Styela clava: one gene and its partner. The protein of the gene in region 2 interacts with the protein of the main gene of each other region in a pairwise test. Links are inferred from orthologs where the notes say so. Each region holds a gene or a part of one and is shown on either strand. Other genes may lie near its edges. The genes, in order: uncharacterized protein LOC120347561 and cleavage stimulation factor subunit 3-like.

Region 1 (11,820 bases), on a different chromosome or scaffold from region 2:
GTACAAAGCTGTGAAGTCGATTTTGGAGTCGTATTTACAAATTCCCCGGAACGGAATAGCGAGGTCACCAAAGTCTGAATTTCAATGGTGATATATATATATATAAATTGAAAATTTGTCTACATAAACTCAAAAAGCATTAGGTTTACCAAGACTTTCTTTAACAAAGGAGGCTTTTGTCATCAAAACTTATATTTTCTCGGATTTGAGAGCTGGAGTCAACTATTTTACAATCCGAAGACCTTGCAGCCCCGGTACAAAGTCGGAATTTTAGACTTTCAATGTTGATACTAGGTTTCAAATTTACTACAGAAAATGAAAAATCATTAAGTTTACTATGGCGTTCTCAGTATCGTAATAAAAAACTGACATACGCCAATACTTTCGCCATCATAATTTTATTTTTCCAAAGTTGAAGTCAACTTTTTTAAAGATCGGTGTAAAAAAAAAAATCTAAATTTCCTCGACGCCACATCCCTGGTACAAATTTATCTACGTTAACATTCAAAATTGTCGTTTGCTTCACCAGCTCACAAGAGATTTCCGTTGCCTTTCTATTTTTCCGCCACGACCCTAGTCGATTATTCGGAACAGGCCAAATAAAATACTCACTATATATCACTAATACAAGTAAGCGTTTTCTAATTTTAGTTTATCAGCTAGTTCTTTTGCAAATAAACGCACCCAAGATGGCGCGGCGGTGTGGCTCAACGGGCTAAGCGTTAGGAATACGCTCGCCACCGCACCTCTAACTACTCTGCGTGGGTTCGCAGGTTCGAGTCCCATGCAGGGATGGTTATGTGCGAGAGGATTGCTGGACTCCTCGCCGTCGTTGGGTGGTTCACGTAACCGCTGGTCGGTTACGGCTTCCTCCACCACCAAGTCCATGCTTCCGAAAACAAAACAATACAGTATAACTAATCCCATACCCGACTTGGAATGGTGACCGGACGAGAGGCCGTGGTTCACCATATGGATAAGCCGTCTTATCGGCTTTCCTCTCCCCCGGGATAAATATGTAAATCCTATCCTATCCTAAGATATGGCAAATTCAGCAGGAACAAACTTGTTTCAAACCTACGCGAGCTAGATCAGGATTAGGATAAAATTTACATATTTATCCTGGAGGAGAAGGAAGTCGATAAGACGGGAAACCACGGCTTCTAGTAGTTATCAGTCCATGTTCGGTATGGGGTTAGTTATTGGACACGTAGTGGGCATAACGATCGTTTCAATATTATGTTGTTCTTGTTCTTGTTGTTATTTGACACAGAATAAACCGCTTTTCTCTTTGAATACTGGACCAATTGCTTTGACATTTTCAGTGGTTGAAGATAAAATTTTTCACCAGAAGGCTATTACTTTTATTCATTTTAAATATTTCTGTTAGCTCTGTGAGATTCGTTTTTGTTTGCTATGACGTCATTAAACGTTCTGCGGATATCGGACGCCATTTTGTGTCCTACTGTACTGCTTCGCTTGGTGTGAATATATTTGTAGATTGTGATCTGACGGTACGGTACACCGTACTGTACTGCGAACAGACGTGTCCCTATATTTGGGCGTAGCTCTCTTGTTTGTTTCAGATTCATGGACTTGTCAAGCGTTCATTTTTCATGTGCTATATAATGAAAATTAGTTATAGATTGATGAGCAAATCAGATCACATACCTTAAACCAACAATGGCCAAAAATGGTGAGTTCACTATTTACATCTAAAATGTTTTTTTGAATACCGAATATCAAATACATGCCAACAGGGATATTTGCACAAATCATTTCAAATCCGGAATTGTAGATTTCCTATTTTTGCAGCTGCGGTCCCCAACCTTTCGTGCCACCCTCCTCCCCCCCCTCCATTTATGACTCCAGTGGTATTTATAGCGTTATTTGATTGGTAGATTCCGAGTCCAATTATGTTCAAACTCCAATTCATGCTCCAAGTGAAAACACTGTGTGAAATAACCTATCAAACAATGAAACAAGGCAGAAAGGGGAGTTTTCTAGCAAGGGTAAAATTAGTTATGCACCTGGCATGGTGGCCGCAGCAACTGCTCTGTGCCCTGCAGTTGGGAACCACTGTTTTACAGTGTCAGTAATTGAGCGAATGTTATACGCTTTAAATAATGAACCCACGAATGAGAATATTTTGACTTATCGCTGAAATCAATAAATTACTATACTGAAATAAGGAAATGTATTTGGAAATTGAATTCGCTTTTAACATCTCTGATGGCTGCTTGGTCGTATAACTCCCTCTTGTCTATTCCAAACTAATTTGCTGTATAGTACTATTGTTTGTTATTATGATGACTGTTATTTTATTTCGATTGACAAAAAAATAAAATCTCTCTCTCTTTGACTGCAACACATCCAATTCAACAAAACAAGAACAAAATTTGATCTGAAATACCCATTTATGCAACATTCTTATTTCAAAATTTTGCATATGCTGAATTCTTTGAAATTCTAATGCTAATTCAGTCAATTCACCAAAAGTAGTGATGAATCCCTCGACCACCATTTATAAATGATTGTTAAACACAAGAAAAAAATAACAATTATCAATATTGAATTAACCAACTTTTTTCCGCACAGAAAAAGGTGCATTCAAGTCACATTTAATAACAAAAAAAACATCAAAGCACCATATATATGATTGATTACTCTGCCTTCTTGATAACAAAAACGTCCAATCTCTTTAAAAAAAAATCGAATGCTATTTTCTAATTTCAATAATGATCAAAAGTGGAACCTTTTGCCACACAAAAAATACAGTCGAGTCAAATCAAAAGATTTTCAAACATAACAATACATCCAACAAAGCACTATATAGATTGATTACTGTACGTTTTACTGTTTGAAAATGCTGTTCTCTCTCACCTTCAAAAAACAAAAGTTTATTCGAGTTCGACTAGAAAAATTGAAAGTCCTATTTTTCCCCACATAAAAAGGTTCAGTTAAACTGAATTGAATTCAAATTTCCCAAACAGCACTTAATCAAACAAAGCACCATATACTGCATGATTGCCACCAGGTAATCTCATGTTGATAATAAATAAAGCACCACCGGTGCTAGCAAAACAGCCGAAACATCAGCAAATTACCGTATATCGTTTTGCTAACACCGGTTGTGCTTTATTTATTATCAACAAAAGCACCATATACGATCGATTGTGTACGCTTTTCGATTAAACCTAAGATAACAACTCTCTTTTCTAAAGTTTCAGAAAAGATCGAAAACCCAAACCAAAATACAGAGAAGCTTAAACCAGGGCTTCAAGTTGAAGTTTGGTATGTCGCTATCGCTATAGTCAAAGCCAGAGTCTAGTTTTCCGATTCTCGGGATTCATAGTTGAAATTCTAATTTCAGTCTTCCAAAATCAGAATTTTTAAAAAAAAATATTAAAGGACATCAAATTTACTAAGCATTCTTATTAACGCCTTTAAAGAAGGTTGGCATACGCAAAATTTTTTCTTTTTATCAAAACTTGATTTTCTCAGAGTTTTGTCTTGGAGTCAAAATAAAAGTAAAATTTTTTAAACACAAAGCCAAATTTTTTTAAACCAGATGGTTAATTTTCCGCAAATCCACCTGGCTTCACTAAAGTCTCCCAAAAAGATTAATTTCCATTGAAGTCTACAGAGCAAATTCAATGCTCATTGTCGCCCTCCAGTGATCTGTTCCTTGAGAATCATGATACTCTTTCTTTGTTCTTCTGGCAACATAGCTATTTGTTCTGGAGTGAGTTGCAATACTTGCATTATCAACGCTGCCTTTTCTTGGTCAGGGTTATTAGGGTCAGGGGCACCTGCAGGTGCAGGCCCTGATGCGGCGGGTGGAGGGGCTGCCCCACTTGTGGGACCAGGTTGTGGCCCCAGTCCCCTTCGAGGGTCGCCACCACCCCGTTCTAACGATGACCCACGATCACGACTTGGACCCGGTACATTGTTACGTTCCAATGATCCTCCTCTTTGATCAAGCAATCGGCCACCTCGGTCGTGAAATGGTGGTCCATCTCTATCTATAGGTCCCCGATCTGGTGGTCTTCTGTCCATTGGGGGACCCCTGTCCATTGGTGGTCCACGATCCATGGGCAGCCCACCCATACCTGGTATAGCATCCATGCCCCTATCTGGGAATTCTCTTCCAAACGGGCCACGCCCAAACGGCTCAGGGCTACGCCTCCCTCTATCTCCTCTTGGACCCATTGGGGGGCCTCTTCGATCAATAGGATGGTCACGAGGACCTATACCCATTGGCTCACCACGCCCTCTATCTATAGGAATATCCATGGGCATTCGGTCATCTGGATGTCCGCGGCGTGGTAGCATTCGAGGTGGTGGGGACCCGTCTCGTCGCCTTGGTATATCCATGGGTTCGTCTATCATTCTGCGAGGAGGTTCACGATTTCCATACGGACTTCTGCCAGGTGGGTCACCATTCGATCGACCATCGACCGGTCGGTCTAATGGTTCCCCTGCAGGAATAAGATTAGGAACTGGGTTTTGTCGATGAAGCATTTTCATTGCAATTTCTGGGTCCACAATACGCATAACCACTTGTGCTTGTAGCAAGGCATAAGCAAGTTGTGGATTTTGTAAAAGCATATTTCTAGCCTCAACTGGGTTATTTTGAATACATTGTTTCATCTGTTTCATAAGTTCAAACATTTGTTCAGGCGGTAAACTGGCAACTGCTTTGCTAATCGCTTCTGGTGCATCTCGGGATGGGACAGGTTCACCATATGGGCTTTCTCTCGGTGGGCCTATGGGGCCCATTTGACCTAAATCTTCCATAATTCGATTTTTCTCACTTGTAGCATGATCAACTCTCAGCGAACGGCCATGCAGTTCGCGATTATTTAAATTTCGCATAGCGCTCATCGCTGTTTCAGTGTCTTGATATTCAGCAAATCCATAACCTTTTGGTTTCCCAGATTCTCGGTCAAAAACGAGACGAAAACTGACAACCGGACCAACTTCTGAAAATATATCTCTTAGACTCTCTTCAGTTGCTTCATAAGGAATATTTCCCACAAAAACTGATCTTGAAGATCTTTCCAAATCAATCAAATCCCGGTCTCGATTCATCCTCACGCTTTTGCAAATGTATTTAAAAAGGTAATTTTAGGCTGGGACATAAAGAAATTCAAATTTAATTGAACTTAAAAACAAACTCTCAATAGTGACGTTTTAAGAACTTGCTATAATAACTTATATATTAAATGTAAAACAAACAAAATAGTGCATCTATGAAGAAATTATAGATAGAAAGATAGATAAAGATTTGGCTTGGAGAAGTTCAGTATAGTTTTAGCTCAGTTCATGTACAAAAAGTTTTAATTTAGGTAGTTTTCAGCAATTAAAATTCAAGAGAATATAATCCAAGGTTCCTGTAAGTCCCATGCATTAAATATAGGAAGCGAATGTTGTAAAAGAGGATTATCTCAAGGAGAAAATATTATCTTAATAGAACACCAAGAGTAAAACCTTATGCAATCTGCAAAATTATATAAACTATTATATGAGATAAACATAGGGAAAAAGTCCAAAACAAAATACTGATGAGGATCATAAACAGGGCACTCTATCAATCTCACCGTAATACAAAGCTTGAAAATTTTAAAGAAATCATAAAGGCTGTCATTAGTGAGAGTCTACTTCATTAACCAAAAAATAGAAAAACACATTAAATTGTAAATAAAAGTTGTAAGAGTTGATATTGGAATCGATTCAATTATTGAGTGGGGTACGGGGGGGAATTCATAAATTAAATTCAGGTACTTCAAAACATTTCTATAATATCGATGACTAAGTGTCTTTTACCAGCTAATTAAAATATACATTCACACATAACGAAGGCAAAGGAGTAAAAGTAAATATATATTAAACGTAAAAAAAAATTAGAAAAACCATACATAGGCAAAAAGTCTATATTTGATACGACTCAAAAGCATTGACGAAGTGTGTATCAGTTTAGCTCATATTAAACAGCATGCTTAATCTGTGAGGCGCTAGCGCTCCGCAAAAATGCACGCGAGCGAATTCAATTTTGCACGCGAAAATTTGCAATTGCTCACCAATGTAAATCGGTTCAAATGGTTTTTATATCAATAATCCAGTAATACAAAGATGCCAAAAAATTATAACTCCACAATTGTCGACTAATACTAGCTTGCAAGATTTGGCCTGATCGAAAAATGCTAAGCAAAAAGACCATATCGTGTTGAATGATAGGAATCCCATGAGAATAGTTATGAGCGAAAAGATCGCCTCCTCACCGACGCTGGCCAGATACGGCTTTGATTCAGCATATTTTTTATACAATAATTCTACGTAAAAACACTTCCAAAATTATTGACAATATAAGTCCTTTTTGCTCTGATTCAAACTGTAGAAATAATGTTTGGGGGTCAAAGGTCAAACGTCCATTTTTCCTCTGATTTAACGTATATTTTATCCGATACTGGTAATTTTACGCGGCTGTATTGAGAGGTATCTAATGTCAAAGTAAGTTGCAGCGAGCGTAGTTGTTTTGCACGACGTGAGCTATAATTGCATGCCAGGAATTCTTATTTGCACGCGGGAATTTCTGATTGCACGCCTGATTTCTCGTTCAAAAAGGCCCTGAAATACAGACTGGGCCAAGGATACGTCAGCCTTGAAAAGATGGTAATTCAGTGATAACACGTCTATGAACTGTAAATGCTGAGTGACAATCGCCACTCCTGTTATTCGACTAATGCCAAAACGATCTCGATAATTTATGCTACTCTTTCACATTACGTATTCTGCTATTTTCAGATTTCATGTGCCTGCTCGCTGCAATATGCACCAAAACTACAAACTGACAAATAATAAGTACTGAAGTATAAGTTTATTTTGAATGCTGACGTCATAATTTTATAAACGATACCGGTACGATAACTAACTAAATATGAAAAATATGCAAACTTACGCGAACCTAATTCCAATCTTAATTTTCCGATTCTTCTGCCAAGGACGAAACCGCGAAATGCCTCGTTTGGCTGAAACAATCGTAAGATGGCGCTCCCGTCTCAAAAGAAAACTATTATAATGGTTGCCACATTTTTTTATTTCGAAACACAAATTTATTTTGAAAACTATGTAAGATGCACGAATATATCTCACCCTAGTGTGCGTTTATTGAAATGAATACATGACACGCTATTATCAATTGAATTAAAAATTCTGGATAGTTCATTCATATAAAACAAATAATCGGATAACTAGTATTTTGGACGTTTCCACGACCCTTGACTTCTGAAAAACTCTCCCTACAATTTATCATTGCAAAGTTTACACAGCTTTTTCGAGATTGTTTGTAAGAGAGTAATTTACAAACATGCTCACTTCAACAAACACTCACTCACATCAATTTCATTAGAAGATTTAACCTCGTCCCGCTTGCAGATACTGATATACAATTTTAGGCTAGTCTATGGTCGCGTTTGTGTTGATTAAGATGGAGTAGGATTTACATATTTATCCCGGGGGAGATTAAAGCCGAGGCTTAATAATATGGCGAACCACGTTCTGTCGCCCGGTTACCAGCCCATGTCGAGTATGGGTTGGTTAGCCAGTTATTTGTTTTCGTAGGCATGTACCTAATGATCGAAGAAGCCGTAACCGACCAGGGGTTACGTGAACCACTCTACGGCGGCGAGAAGTCCAGCAGCTTTGTGGGCGGACACGTACATTGTACGCTTTTTAACTTTTTTGAGTTATGCCCGTATGTATGTATGTTTATTTTTCTCAAAAATATAACAGTATCTGCATAATAATTAAACAGTAAAACAGAGACGGGAATACATGTTCAAGACCTTACTAGCCTAAGACACAGATGTGCGACATGCACCCCTACTAACCCTTATAACAGCCGTTTAGGACTGCTGCGGTATAATAGGACAACATACAGGTATCTCTGCACTTTGTTTTGTCTGTTTATTTTTTGTATTTTTTATGTCAGAGAACCAAAATAAATGATTGATTGATTGATTGATTGAATCCTATTGCATATAACTAAATCTGCATTGGATTCGAACAGATAAACCCACGCGGAGTAATCAGAGGTGCGATGGCGAGCGTATTCCTAACGCTTAGCACGATGCGCCAAACAGCCGAGTAACAAATATTTTATGAAAGCACAACTGGAATATGATAAATAAAACGCAAAACCTCCAAAACGGGACAATGTTTACAAACATGCTCTATTTTTGCTCTAATGCAGCTTCCCAAACTGTGTTCTGTGTTCCGCGTCTTCCGAGCGTTCCGTGGAAAAGAAATCAAGAATACGTCTAAATTGGTCTCTATGGCGATCTTAGAATCGTGAAATTGTAGCCCAACTGACCGTTTAATACCGAGTCACCGTCGGCTTAAAGATGACTAACTAAAGTAGGGTAGTAGCATTTTCGTTAACCGTCGGTCTAGCTTTTTGATTGTTAAGTTCATTACCAAATTTATAGTAATCCTTTGGTTTTGCTATAGGCAAACAAGCAGGTCTAAAGAATGAAGGCAAACTAGATTCCGCAGATAATTGAACTGCAGCTCGCGAAATTGCAGCAAGCACTTCTATCTCCATTGAACGTAACATTAGAGGCAAACACTGCTTGACTGAAAGTAAACGGTATAGAAAGGTAAAATGATTTTATTGATTCATATACACACCAATAAAATTAAGAAACAATGAAACAGTTATAAAAATACGATATGTAAAATATTTAATCATATTTTAGGTATGTTTAGTACAAATCTGTTAGTTTTCGCGGCGCATTTGTCAACTCGCCACGGCAAACCCATTAGGAACCGCAACACTGCACCGTTTTTTTTTATAAATTTTATTCTTTCATTTTTTGTTGTTCCGCAAGGCGAGATAAAGAAGTGTAAGTGTCCGAAAATGTTTGGGAAACACTGCCTAATAGAATCAAATAACATGAGACTCGAACTTGCTTCGTAGCTTCACGAAGTCACGGAACCGATTACCCGGATGGGCGACCTATGTTCGACCTCAAATCGATTGAGCAAGTGTTCGCTTTACATTCTGAATGTTAATTTATCATGCTAATCAAAATAGATATGAAATTCTTATCTCATCCTATGTTGTTGTAAGTGTATTTAGATTAAATGATGTCAGAGGTCCATGCAAATGTTCCTTTGTTTGACATTTTGTGAACCATTGTATTGTCATAAATTGTGAGTTTGTATATTGTGAAAATACCCGTGACAACGTGAATTCATTTAGGCACCGGTTAAAAAAAAACAAGGTATAAAAATGTTTTAAATTATAAATTTTAATAAATTATTAATTTTATGCTTGCAACTATTTAGAAAGTCTAAGATGAATAAAGATGTGGCCCGCGGTTTCACCTAGTCATTTGTATCTAACTCTCCTGTATTAAAGGTCGCACATCTCTGGCCTACCTAATTAATCACACCCTTAGTAGCGACAGGACATGGGATTTAGATGGATATGTAACCAGCGGTGCCAGTACATTCAAGTTAACGCTTTTACCGCGCAAACTATCTCACAGTTGCATTTGTGAAGAATAAAACTTATTAGTGTTTTTGAAATAATCCTATATTTTCATCGAGTATGCGTTGCAGGTAGGGCTGAGCGTTTTGAAACAATGTTTCGAAACGTTTCGAAACACTGATATGTCGAAACGGCGGCGTTTCGACCTTCGAAACGGATATTATGACGTCATAGCAAATGCAACCTGTAATTAGTGTCCAATTCGAATTTAATATCCGAATTTATTCGAATATCATGACTCTCAAATATCGTTTTTAGTGTTTATAAGAATATTAAATATCGCACAAACGTCCAAGCGCCGCCGTCCACGTTTTGATCGACAATTTTTACAATTACAATTTCATGTTTTATCGTATACGAAGACACTCTTTGCGAGGTGCAATAAATTACTGCCGACATAAAAGGATTTAAGTCAGCGTCGACTTGAAGTACTTATAACACGTCGAGGAAGTTTTTAATTGAAAATATTTTACAATTATTATGATATATTTCAACATAGTCGAGATAGTTTGGGGAACCGCGCAATAAATCTAAAATCAAATCAAATTTAGCTCAACGATGTCGATGTCACGATGACGATAAACAGTCAGAGTCATAACGAAAATTAGCCGTGTCAAAAATCCGAGTTAATATTGATTTTACTGTATAATTCAAACATTCCACCTAGTTGTTCTTTTTCCTGTGCTTGCCAAGATGCACCACAATTCATAAATACTGTAATGTTTATCAAGTCCATTTCCTTAGAGCAAAAAAATAACTAATTTCAATCAATAAAAGACCAATTCCTATGTTCCTGGAGTTTAGAATGTATTCGGAATTCGGAAGATTCAAAAATATGTTTTTCCAGAATGTATTTGAAATAGTCAGGTATTCGGTTATGGCTTTCCCTTGTATAATTACCACACTGGATCACAAGGATTTGTGGCATCGGATAAAGTAGAAAATGACCCCACCCATTACATTAGATGAGGGCAGGGCCGCATTGAGACGTTGAGAGGCCCCATGCTATGCTGCTTGCGAGCCCTATCTCTAACAATGACGTAATTCGTATTATCCTGGTGCCATTTGGCCGCTGCTTTGTCATTGAGCAGAAACATTCGTGGAATTATCATTATCGTTTTATCCTCTCGAATTAGCATCCAGTGCTATCGTTTTGTGGATTTAATTGTGGAAAATAGATGTCATTATACATTAAATTCCATGGGTAATAATGGTATCATATTTCACTGTTTATGACAAACGTGTGTTTCGTTTCGTTTCGTTTCGATTTCGTTTCGAAGGCAAAATTTCGTTTCGATTTCGAAACACCAGTGTTTCGAAAATGCTCAGCCCTAGTTGCAGGTTTAGTCCCAAAATATCAAGGATTGAGCATCTATTACTTTTAAATTTTCTTGTGGCGCTTCAACAGCTAGTCCATCGCTGAACGTAACTTGTTGCTTGTTTTAATCGGTTTCGAGTTCAAACTTTTGCTATGAAAACTACTAGCCGTATGGTTGACTTTTATTCGAACTTTAGTCAAAAATGGAATAACATAATATGTTATTATTCTGTTGCACAGTGTGTGCTTTAATGTATCACGATAATCTTCGTGTTGTAGTAAATACAGTCCTTCATTTGACGTATTTTGTAAACCTAAGGCATTTTATTTGTTATAAATCGCGAGCTTGTTTATGGTAAATAAATCGGATACAATTAGATTCCTCTAGGCGTTTCGAATGCATTAAATATTGCCGCAATGATAGCCAAGATAGGACGCCTGGTTTCATATTAATATTTACTACCAAGACTGTTAACAGTTACATTTAGGTGGAAAAGGGTTGAAAAATAATAAGATATAAGACGTTGTACTATAAATTGTCCGTCAACAGCTTTTGGAAACTGGCAAGGACGTTTGAGTAGCGTTAGCATAAAAGTTTTCATTTTTATTCCGGGGAAAAATGAAGTCGATAAGACGGCTCAATCATATGGCGAACCACGCCTCTCGTCTGGCCACCAGTCTAAGTCGGTTAATGGAAATACTTTGCCAGGTATTTGTTTCGAGTGCATGGACTTGATGGTCTCGCAACCTGTCGCACTGAAAGTGCGAATGCACAGTCTAAATCAGAAAACGTTGCACGTGAGGTGGAAGTTAAAATTCTATGCGTGGGAGACCGACTGATGAGCATTTCCACTATGTAGGGTAGGGCAGATGAGGTAGGTGATTAGCACGTTAGTCAGGTATCCCTGTCCGCATGACGCAGAAAATTTTTGGAAACGATCGGGCC
Region 2 (11,884 bases):
ATAAACGCATTCGGCAGATTTACCGCCGCCGATAACCATGCACAAACCGTTCGATGTTTGTTTTTGCGGTGATATGCTCTCTTTTTCCGAATCGCAAACCTGATTCGAAAAAGATGCAATTCGATTTGTCAATCCAAAAGTGGCATCCCTAGCTTGCCTCAAAATTGGTCAAGCAAAAATTGAAATAGTTTGGCCGCATACTTTGAAATCTTACAATATGTAGGCTATTACCGAGGTTATGGGCAGCTTATTGATATATGTCCGTTTCTAATTATATTGTGTTCGCATCACGCGATGTGACACGTAGAAGAGAAATGCACCGCCGTGAAAAAAAAAACATTACGCGCATTTTACAAGTGTTTATAGGCGAATTTACCAAGAAATACAGGGAATCGACTTGAGCCCCCACAGTATTGAGGGTCTGTCCACCTACAAGCGAGTGTGAGAAATTTTGAATACTAATGTATTTCTTCAGTTACGCCAACCAACTCGAGATGCATAATCGCAAACATTACCCCCTCTTGTTTGAGCGGCTTAATATATATCACTAGTATTGTATTAACTCGTCGTGGTGAATTGTTTGACAATAAAGCCTGGAAGGCAATTTAAAAGTCGTATTTGAAGAATAAATAAATTTAAAAGTCGTAATGCGGACCTGACCACTGACACTTTTCATTTCATGAATATGATGTTAATTTGTTGATAACTATTTTATTTATTTGAAAGTAACTAATGAGCTCGACTAAACTTTGAGGGCATGAATAAAGGATTTTTCATCATAATAAACCTAACAAGTGCAGAAGACATAAGCAGAAAGGTACCATCAGTAGGACAAAGCATATCACTCAATAGTGGAATTCAACTTTTACTTTACGCATAGAGAACTTTCATCGTAATAAACTAGTGCAAAAGACATGCTGCAAGATACTAACAAAGGGTGTAGCCAGCCCAAATTTTGAGGGAGGGGGCAAGTTTTTTTTGCCCACTTAGACTGGCGGGCCATGTAAGTGTGACTTAGAAAGTTACATTTCAGCCTCATGCCAGAACTGAATTTAACCGCAGTCGCAACAAATTGCTTGAGCTATTTTAGCTGAAACGTCAAAATTTGACTTCAGTTTGGCTGTGGCAGAATCAGGCGGGCCAGATTGAATTACCCAACGGGCCGGATTTAGCCCGCGGGCTGTACTTTGCCCATGTCTGCTCTACAGACATACTTCGCTGTCAAAGTTATAAAAGTGCGCATTTCCATCTATCTCGTTTGGTTCATTAGGTGAAAGGATTATTGATAGCAATCCAGGAAATGTCCGGTTTTCAGTATATCGTTCAAGAACAGAGCAAAATGGTTTTGAAAATGTGTATGAATTTATGTCTCATGCCGCAAAATTGCGTCAAAAAATGTTTTTCGGTGGGACATCGCCCCTTCTTGGCTATGCGTATGGTACTAACAGTGGAGGCATACAGCATATCACTTAATGGTGGCAATTAACTTTCCCTTTACGTCCATCCCGATTTGGCATCCCAGAAAACACAACTTTTCCTATTTCCCCCATCTCTTACTTCTAAGAAGACAAGCTTTTGTAAATCCCATAATAGTTAGATATTTATATATTAATAAACGCGCCAGATATATGTCACATATGAACCTGTTATTTCCGCTATCAACCAAATAATAGAATTCAAATGTAATAAAAAGTACATTTTTAATATCAATAAAACCTACATAAGATAAATATATATAAACAGTAAAACATGCAAAAAACTAAGTTCATAAATGTTCACTTTGTGCATATTTTTTATTGGCACAGTAAGTATATAATAACTAGTGTAAATCTGCTATAACTCCCCCTGAACAGTAACTCGCACTCAAAAATTTTCAAACCAAGCTGCCTCGATACGAAATTCTACATAAACGATAGCATTTTAAAGAAGATACAAATTCAAACATAAAGAACCAATCAGGAAAGCATATTATCTTTTTAAATAGAAGTTCCTCAATATCAGCGATTGAACGCCAATATGCTGCCTGCAACTTTTTATAGTGGAGTTTTTTACCCCTTAATAATTAGCAAAACAAGCATTGATATGCATAAAGAATCCGAATCTTCCATATGCTGCAATACCCTCTGGATATATTACATCCTGGAAGAGGTGGTGAGCATGGCAGATGATCTTAGGATCTTTAGATTCAAAGTTAGGTTCAACGCTCTAACCACTGGAATAGTGCGCGCAGGGAATGAAACAGAATGGGATTGATACATAACATGCATGAAGTCGATGAAGATCTTTATGTGAAGCATTTTTTGTTAGGAATAACTTATGAAGTGTTGAATCAAAGCATCTGTATAGATTGTATTGATAAAAAGAAGGATAGAACTATAAAGAAGAAATTCACCACATTACAGCACTATCACCAAGCCATAACGAGGATGGCAAAAAGACTAGTCAGACTGGATCTGGATGGACAATTTGAGCTGCCCATCAAAAACCCAATGAAATAAAAACAATAGCCAACAATTACTCCACCCATGAAAAATTACTTTTTCAAAGGCCGAAGAAATCTGTAGACAGAACTATGACAGAAAGAATGCAAATGAGAAAATGCATTCAATTCCAAATATCATAAAGCATAATTCTGATCTTGCTTAATAGCACAAGTTGAAAACAGAACACAATATGACCTCGCAAGTAACTTTGTTATGCCTTCAAAACTAGGGTAACTTCCAGCAACAAAATACACAACAAGTCCATACAACTTCTCAAAGAAAATCTTTTCTCACAAAAGACAAGAAAGGGATAGGAAACAAACAAATTCCAAGACGCCATTGATAATGTATGTAGAAGCATTTGACAGCTTATTTTTCATTATCACATCAAAGTTGATAAGGTGTGGTCGTAGAATCACATATTCGCTCTACATAATGTAAAGCTGTGGCAGAGGTAAAGAAGTCTAACGGCATCATCTGACTTTTGCATACCATACTACGATTGATCGACGAATCTGTGGCTTGGCATGTTTCTGTCTCATCAAACTGAACCAAAGACCCACTAGATGAATATGAAACAGCCATGCTAAACACCATCATACACTAAACTCCCTAAAATATTATTCACTACACGAATGCCATCTGGCCACTAGCTAACATCTAATGTAAATACCACTGGCCAAGCAGAATTGATTCATTGATCAATGTTGATCCGTTTTCGAAGATTTGAAGCAACTAAATGTAGAGACTCGTCTCAAACTTTAAAGTGTCACTAGCTTTTTGCAACTTTAACCAGGCGCGTTGATGCCTAAGTAAATATTGACACGACATGGTATCCTGGTTTTAATTTCAGACTCAGACTTGACCAGAAACTGAGGGTTTAGGAACTTGCACACAACAATATATTTGGTCGGCATCAAGTCTCATGTCAATTAGTATTAATTTGTGTTTGAACAGCATAGTCTCCATCTCGATTATAAGTTTGTACTTCTTAGCATTTCAGCAGTATCAGCCAGACACAATTCACTTCCAATAAGATAATTTTTCAAAACTAAGTGGGATCTTGTAACACATTATATTTTAGGCAATCCACTTTTCTAAGCAGAACCTTCAAACTGAAAAGAACTCAACAAAGCTTAAATCTGTCTCACCTTTGCAGAACGACAAAGCAAACAAATACAGAAAAAATATATTTTTAATATTACAAACCACACCTCATGTTCTATATAAATCTTCCAATATCTTCCAGCACTTGGGAACTGTGAAACGAGACGTTCGTATGTTCTTCTAGCTTTGTTAATAGAGTTTGTCTGAAAAATCCAATGTAAAAGACTTGTACCAAAGAATATGTTGGAACAATGAATGAAATTGCAAAATCTGATAAATGTCACAATTTCAGTAATAAAATATAGATTGTACCTGGGCTTCACGAATCAGTGAGTTCCATGACTCAACATCATATGGACTGGTTTCCAATTTCTTTTCTATCTTCCTGATTCTTTCTGGAACATACTCCTGTAATTGAAGAAAAATGGACCTCATGTTTATATACCAAGTTATGCGGTACAAAGATAAATTTTTTTGGCATTATTAATGATAGTGAGTATGATATAATTATCACCACGCAATACAGAACAATGAATACAATTCTATACATACTGAAAAGTTCTTATTCGTTCCTAATCACTATTTACATAGACATATTTAGTACTGTTTGAAATATTCTGTATGTCGTCTGATGATAGATCATTTAACAACATTTAATGTGTAATAAACATCAAAGTTAACAGGTTGTCCCACTACTAAACTGATAAAAGACTTTAGAAAGTATATCACATAATACCAGTATTACACTATAAAGAACATTAGCTGATAAAAAAAAAAACATTCAAAACCATTGCTAAAATACTATTATTAATTGCAGTGTAACTTCGTTAGGAAAAACAGAAATGTTTTATGGCATGATATCCATAATTGATTTGTGGTTTAGGTGCATAATATTCTAAGATATCCTGGATATCCAAGTAGAAATTGCATTATAATAAATTTTCATTATATCTCACCACTTCTTCTGATTGTGATTTTGTTGCCATATTCAATGTTTTGAACCCTTTATTGAACAACAAATTAAGTATAGATTTTGCATTGATCAGCTTTTAATCATTAATAGAGATTTTTGTAAGTATTGTTACCTTAAGTTTCTGGAGAAAGCAATCAAATTAAATAATGTTGTACAAAAATATTCTTTAAGTTTATAGATTAATACTTATCTGTAAGCCAAGACAAAAATTTAAAAGATAGCAAATGCATTTCATCCTGAAAAGCTGAAGTAATTTATCTCAATTATGACATAATCTTGTTCATTTATTGGTTTAAGAGTCAGTACAGTTCTTTGATTGCGATATTACAATAAATGTCCCCCACATTAAAATACAGCAATTATAACAGTGAATGCAAACCCCTCCTTTTTGAGACAGTGTGGTCGGCACGATTTACTGAAGAAAAAAATTTACCGTATCATAAGTATATTTGAACTCCATAATCAGCATAACACTAACATGCAAAGTTCAAAACGTACAGGATATCTTATAAGATGGGAGATTTTGCCAAGAACGAGTGTTTTTAGCAAAAGAAATTATTATTTCAGTGATATGACGGAGGACGCTCATTGAATTCTGGAATTATTATCAAAATAAGCATGACACAATACTGACTGTTGCAGCAAACAGCAATATTTTGATATCCAGATACCGTGTGCGAGACGAGAGTATTGCGGGTTACCGGTAATTACAGTTTCCTCCACCATCAAGTCCATGCTTCAGAAAATAAGTTTATTTAGACTCCATAATCAGCATAATAGACGGTAAAATGTCGACATTGATAAAAGCAAAATAAATAAAACTGATTATAGAATCCGACCTGCAAACATGGACTGGTAGTCAACAGGTAACACTGTGACAGGATGAAAGGCTGTGGTTCGCCATATGATTAAGCCGTCATATCGACTTTCCACTCCTCCGGGATAAATATGTAAATCCTATTCTGCAAGCTTTAACCTCGGGATTCGGCTGTGGTTCGCCATGTGATTGAGCCGTCTTATCGCCTTTCAACTCCCCCCGGGATAAATATGTGAATCCTATTCTGCAAGCTCCAAGTCCCGGCCCTCGGGACAATGCCGGTACCGTATTCGCCAAAGTGACTACAGGACTATAAACCATTGAGGTGCTATAAACCACTTTGGTATTCACTGCCGTAACGTACGATCTAAGACTACAAAATAAACCACCTGCACCTGGGTGTCGCTGACACGATTATTGGACGATCTTTCGCGACTGCTCGCGAAACTTTGTGGGTTATTTTTGTGACTTGATTCATTTCGATTCATTATTATTTGTTTACAATATTTCATGCATGGCGAAATAAAATATTTTAATCTAAAAACACACACAGTTGTACAGGTAATCGATAAAGCCGGGAAGGGAAACCGCGGGAACGAATTTTGTTTATCAAATAGCGACACCCAAGGTGTAGGATAAGGTTCTGATAAGTCCAAAAATCGTATTTAAGAGGTCGATATTTCAGTTACGACATTGGTATGGCCGTATCGCGACTTTAGCTGTATCAGTTCAGACCTTGCTTTGATCAATTTTGATAATAAAAAATGTATGTACAGACTTTGCTCATCTAGTCTAAACTGACAGGTCGGCAGTGGGTGGACAGTCTAAAACTTCATAAATTCACTTCATTCTCAGCCATTGGAGACACTCATATCTGTTTGAGTACAGATACGGTATCGCGAGCTCGGAGGGAGAAAGAGACAACTCGCCATATGGGTTTGTTACTTTGCTATACAGTCGTTGAGTGACATCGCGGGATATAATGTAAGGTATAAGTATATTTAAAAAATAATAGGAAAATAACTAGTGTTCCATGTTATATGAAATTGAATGAAAGTGTCAGTATTCATTACTGATTAAAGGCCAAATTATGATTGATTTACATGATTTTTTTGAAAATAGTTCTCATACTTACGTACATACATTTATGAGGCTAAAATGATACCTGGGGAAAAAAAGCAAAATTTATTTCAACTGGGCTAATATTCAGGTCCGAACCGTCCGGGCAATCTTTTCATCAAACACCGAGGCACTATCGGTACGTTAGTCGTTGGGCACTATACTATGAAAATTTCTGTTGTGCTTTCTTTGTCCTGGTGCCGTAAGCTTGTGCTTGTTGTGCTTTATAATAAATTCATACTTGGCTACAATATCATCGCAACATTATACGCCTACAGAATTATCAGCATAATAAAGCAGCGCCAAATCGTGTAAGTCTTGCTTTGTAACTGACGCTTTTTAACAGAAGGCCTATAGAAGTTACGGTGAAATGCTATTCAAACGTGGAACGACTTCAGTATACATTTTCGATTCATTTGCATAATATTATTTAGAAATAATTCTCATGCCTACAAACATTTATAGAGGTTTAAGAATGATACTTGAGAAAGAAAAACAAGCAAAATCTCAAAATTTATTTTAACCGGAACAATATTGAGGGCTGATCAGAGGCGTAGCCAGAATATATTGCGCCCGGGGCAAGCTATAAAATTGGCGCCCCGACCTCCACGTTTAATCATATTTTCTATTACATTTAATTGTATATGTAAAACAATTCAAATTTTAATGGAACATTTTACTTAATAATTGTCTTACCGTAATATTTATATAACATGGTGCAAATGTGTCTGTGCTATTCTGTTCATTTATATTTTATACTGAGACCGACTCTGTTATGGCGATCTGTAATGTACTAGATCACAATGTAGCACTGGTATTATATATATTTTACACATGTCCTCTAAACTCTATCACAATGTGCTTTTAGTGTTGAATCGTGGAACTAAAATATCTGCCGACTCATTCTCCGTCTTTTTTATATTTATATTGTAACAATTAATTCCGACTTCTTAATCAATAACAGTGTTAAATTGGTCAGGAGCCTTGATGACCTTCAACGGTCTTGCATACTGGCTAACACAAAACAATGTGTAAATTGGACTACTTCTATAAAAGTCATCGATATTGTTTTATACTATTTTTCATTGTTTTCATTATAGTCTAACTCTATAAAAATTATTGATATTATTTAATACTGTTTTTTCATTGTTTGTGGAAATAAATCTCTCTCTTAACGAAGAAGCAAAGCTATACAAAGTATGTCCATAATGTCCCACTCAGTTATTGTCAAGGATGATTTACATAGTCTACAATAAATTTATTTTTCTTGATTTCACTGTCGCAAGCTGGTTAATCACGTCATCAAAATCTGTTTTTTTTTTCAATGTTTTTCTTTCAACACTTAGAACAGGGGTCGGCAACCGGGCCAGATCCGGTCCACGGAACAATATAATCCGGCCCGCGACGCTTCACTAAATTATATTAACAAAACAACTGTATTGACGATTATATTTTTTACGTAACAGAATTTGTTTTGAGACACTAAGTTATATTATAATCTAACAAGTATATAATTCACAATCACTCGTTTAAATTGATTATAGATAGACAAATGGCAACAGAACGTAAAAAAGTTGATGCTGAGTGCAAATGCTTTAATGGCGCAGAAAATGATCAGTTTTTGTGCGCTGCTTGAAATTTAACTGAAATCTGTGTGAAAAAATGTGATTTACTGGCCATTCCCTCGTTTTTTAACTTTCTAAAAATATATGCGGGCCACTAATGACTTGCAACCTTTAATTTTGGCCCACGAACGACAAAAGTTTGCCGACCCCTGACTTAGAACATCACTGAGACTATCCTGTCCTATTGATGCACGCGATTACGACAAAATAGGTTTAAATTTGTTGAAAGACCGTTCACAGCTTGCAATTGAAACTGGTATTGTTAACAAAATTTGTAGAGAAATTCGCATATTCGAGAAAACGTCGTCTCCAAAAGACACAATAAAACCAAGAAGAGCCAATGGCTGGTAGACACCAATGCATCAAACTGAGTTGTTGCGATGCCGTTGTGGTCATTATAAATCAGTGGTTCTTAAAGTATGGGTCGCGACCCAAACATGGGTCGCGGAAGGTTTAAAAATGCGACAAGGTCATCAATGCAAGGGCAATCTAAGAGGAGAAGGAAGAATTTTCAGCTTTCCCAATGTTTCAATTTAGCTTCTAAACTCTGGTATTTAAAAATAATGAAATATAAAATGTCATTCACGGAAAGAACTGTCTTGAGCTCATTGTTACATCACAATTCTGATTTGCCAGTCACGTGTATTATTTTTATGGTATCGGTAACCATGTACGTCGCTTGTCGTTGTGTTGACCGCGTGGAATGTCGTCTTAGTCGATTAAAATAACCAAAAATGGGTGTCTTTTTGGTAATGTAAATTGTAATAGACGACGCAATGAAAAAGCTCGCTTCTCGACATTAGATTATTCAATATCTAGAGAAAATGTGACTTCATCTCGAGGCACCATTTACCGCAAGCGAAGCAGTGTGTGCACATTTGATGAGTAAAAAGTTGTATATTGCGAGAGATACCGAAGGCCAGCTAGGATGTCGTGTTTGCGACGGACAGCGGACGCCTTTTCTGCTACAATTCGCAACAAGGCACTTGTGCGAGCGAGGATATTTGGCACTGACGGTTATCAAAACTAAGCTCGCAATCGCCTCGATACCCGTGACAACTTGCGTATTGCGTTAAGTAAAATAGAGCTGTGTATTGAAGATATAATGAAAAGGAAATTTCAGTTTTATCAATCTCACTGAGTCAATGGACTGTTTCTAATAAATAGTTGTCTGTATTTGAGTCAAACTGTACTAACATTAAAAACACATTTTGCGTTATTTAGGATTGGGTCGCGAGTATTCATAAAACTCAGATTTGGGTCGCGCTCGAAAAAGTTTAAGAACCACTGTTATAAATATTAGGCCCAGGGCTAAGTATAAACTACACTTTTTATGAATGCTGTTGACAGGCGGGAACTGAACAATCCCTTGCCACCAAAAGTAAGGTCTGCGTCGTGGGCTACCTGGAAACGTTTAGCAGCTTACCACGAAATACAAAACCACGTACTACTCAAAACATGTATTATCAGCACTTCGCTGTTTAACATCATTAAACCAAATTCCGTTGCTTTTCGTCTCCAGCACAGAACTTATATCAACTTACATCGTAGTGCGCAGGCAAGAACTTATCGATACAGAACCACGTATTTAACCCAGTGCATTTTATTACCTAACGTTACCAAATCAGATTTTGCTTTGTTTCCGTGCGCGAGCTATGTGCCTGATGACGTCGGCGTAAGTGGTCTGACCAAGTGTGCAGTTGGCCATGTACTAAGACTAGACTGCCGCCGGTGCAATCTTGCTTGTGAGATTTATTTTATGTGACTGGTATTTTACCCTCGTTGTGACATTTTTGCAAGTCCCATTTTGGCGCCCCTGTACCTTGGCGCCCGGGGGCATATGTACCCCATTGCCCCCCCTAAGCTACGCCTCTGGGGCTGACTCGTCAGACTAACTCGAATTATTTCGTTAAACACTGAGGCGCCATTGAAAAGTTGACTGTGGAAATTTCTGTGGTCTCCCCTTTTCTCTTAGTGCCCTAAGCTCGTGGTTATTCCGTTTAAGGGTTAATCTAGACCTGGAATACGTGTGAACGAAGTTAGTTCGCCTAGCATCAAGTGTACAAATTATATAATTTCCCTATCTGTCCCGAGAAATGATAGCTGGCCGCTTACAAGTCAATGTTAGATTCTATTTTCTCGTGATTATGTATTATTTTCTCGTGATTATGTACTCTGTTCTTTAATTTATTCTAGTATGATTGTCTTGGTGTGTTTCACGTGTGTGAATGGGCATAATCGCTGGTTACAGCGTTCGTTATAAACCTTTATATAGGTTTTGCCCACTTTCCCGATCTTTCAGTTGACCTTGTCTGTGTTCTTTTTATTTGTGTTGTAGACGAAAGATCGAAATAAAATTATATTATTATTATGCATGGGGTCGGCGGTAGAGGAAGCAAGCGGCTTCGTTGACGATAACCACCTGGGTATATTTACCTTTGAACCAGCGCAGCGTACTTCTGAATGGAATGACAAGCGACTTTAAAACTCTCAGCGCCCATCGTCGACGCGGGTTTCATGTTACGTAGATGACCTATCTTTTTTATTTCGATTCCTGAAAGCTTTTACGCTTTGGTCATTCGCACCATTGCTTACTCTTGAATTCTAATCGGCGATGACGGTGTATTGCTTCGTGCTAAGCGTTAGAAATAAGCTCACAAGCGCACCTCTGATTACCCCGCGTGGTTTCGCAGGTTCGAACTTTCATTCCCAAGGTACCCTATTGAAAATAGGCCGCTCCAGAAGTGTGTGCACGAATACGAAGGTAACTAATTTTGTTCGCCTACCTTACTTAAAGTTGTGTAGAGTGACTGAAACCTACGGGCAGCGGTTATATTCACTTGGCTGACCTGACGAGGGAAGTATGTGATACCGGTAACAAAATTTGTTAGATGCCCTGTATAACATTCGGTAATGAATGAAGAAGTAGTGGCAGTGCGAACCTTATAATCAGACATCCTGGATTTTAACAGAAAACCAAGCCTAAAATTTAGTTATGCGATTAATTTCATTGTAACAAAGCATAAACATAGGCAAATAAATGAAATATACTTCAACAAGAACTTGCAAATTCGCCAGAATACAGAAATCAACTTCTATTAAAAACAAAATATAGAAATTCACCACCCATAATTTACAGACAGTGGTCGGTCAGTATGAGCTACATTGTACAATATCAGTGAAATAGAACTGTTGCTGATCTAGATTGTTGTGACTATACAATTGATAGAACAATGTGAAAAAGTGTGATATAAAGAAAATGGTGAATAAACAATCCCATAATAAAGTACGATTTTCTTTTTACTCTAACATGCTCAGGAGATTTTACAATATTCTTCTTTTCATTATGGCTTGGTGTTGTATTTCTGTTGATCATAAATAATAATTCAACCACATGAAATAATGATGAATGGCAGACATGATTGTGCAAAAACGAAGCATAAAAATATTACAGACTTGATAGTGAAGTAAAAAAATGTACCAGACATGCGAAAGAAAGAGTTGAGTAATTAACAAAGTAATAAACAAAAACTTGCACCATCTGATGTAAAAATGATGTTTTATGTTGTGCCAATCCCTACCGCAGCATACTAAATATCAAATGATTTCAACTACTGCTTCATAACACTTCAAACAAATTGTTAAAAATAGAAAAAGCCCCATCAAATAAAAGTACAAAGATGACAAAATGAACAAAGCATAATATAGATAATAATCCGTAGATCAAGAAAAATATTTAGAAAAGCCAGCAAAAAGCATC

Evidence for each region.
Region 1: the proteins of cleavage stimulation factor subunit 3-like (region 2) and uncharacterized protein LOC120347561 interact in a two-hybrid assay, tested with the Drosophila melanogaster proteins (2 studies listed by BioGRID). The link is inferred for Styela clava from reciprocal best matches to the Drosophila melanogaster genes su(f) and CstF64.

What each region holds. Positions count from the first base shown.
Region 1 is NC_135250.1:3,969,290-3,981,109, forward strand, and holds uncharacterized protein LOC120347561, read right to left. Parts: upstream 5,474-11,820; 5' UTR 5,095-5,473; coding exon 3,661-5,094; 3' UTR 2,293-3,660; downstream 1-2,292.
Region 2 is NC_135255.1:8,580,900-8,592,783, forward strand, and holds the start of cleavage stimulation factor subunit 3-like, read right to left. Parts: upstream 4,863-11,884; 5' UTR 4,577-4,862; coding exon 4,547-4,576; intron 3,999-4,546; coding exon 3,903-3,998; intron 3,794-3,902; coding exon 3,698-3,793; intron 1-3,697. UniProt on the Drosophila melanogaster protein: Essential protein, may play a role in mRNA production or stability.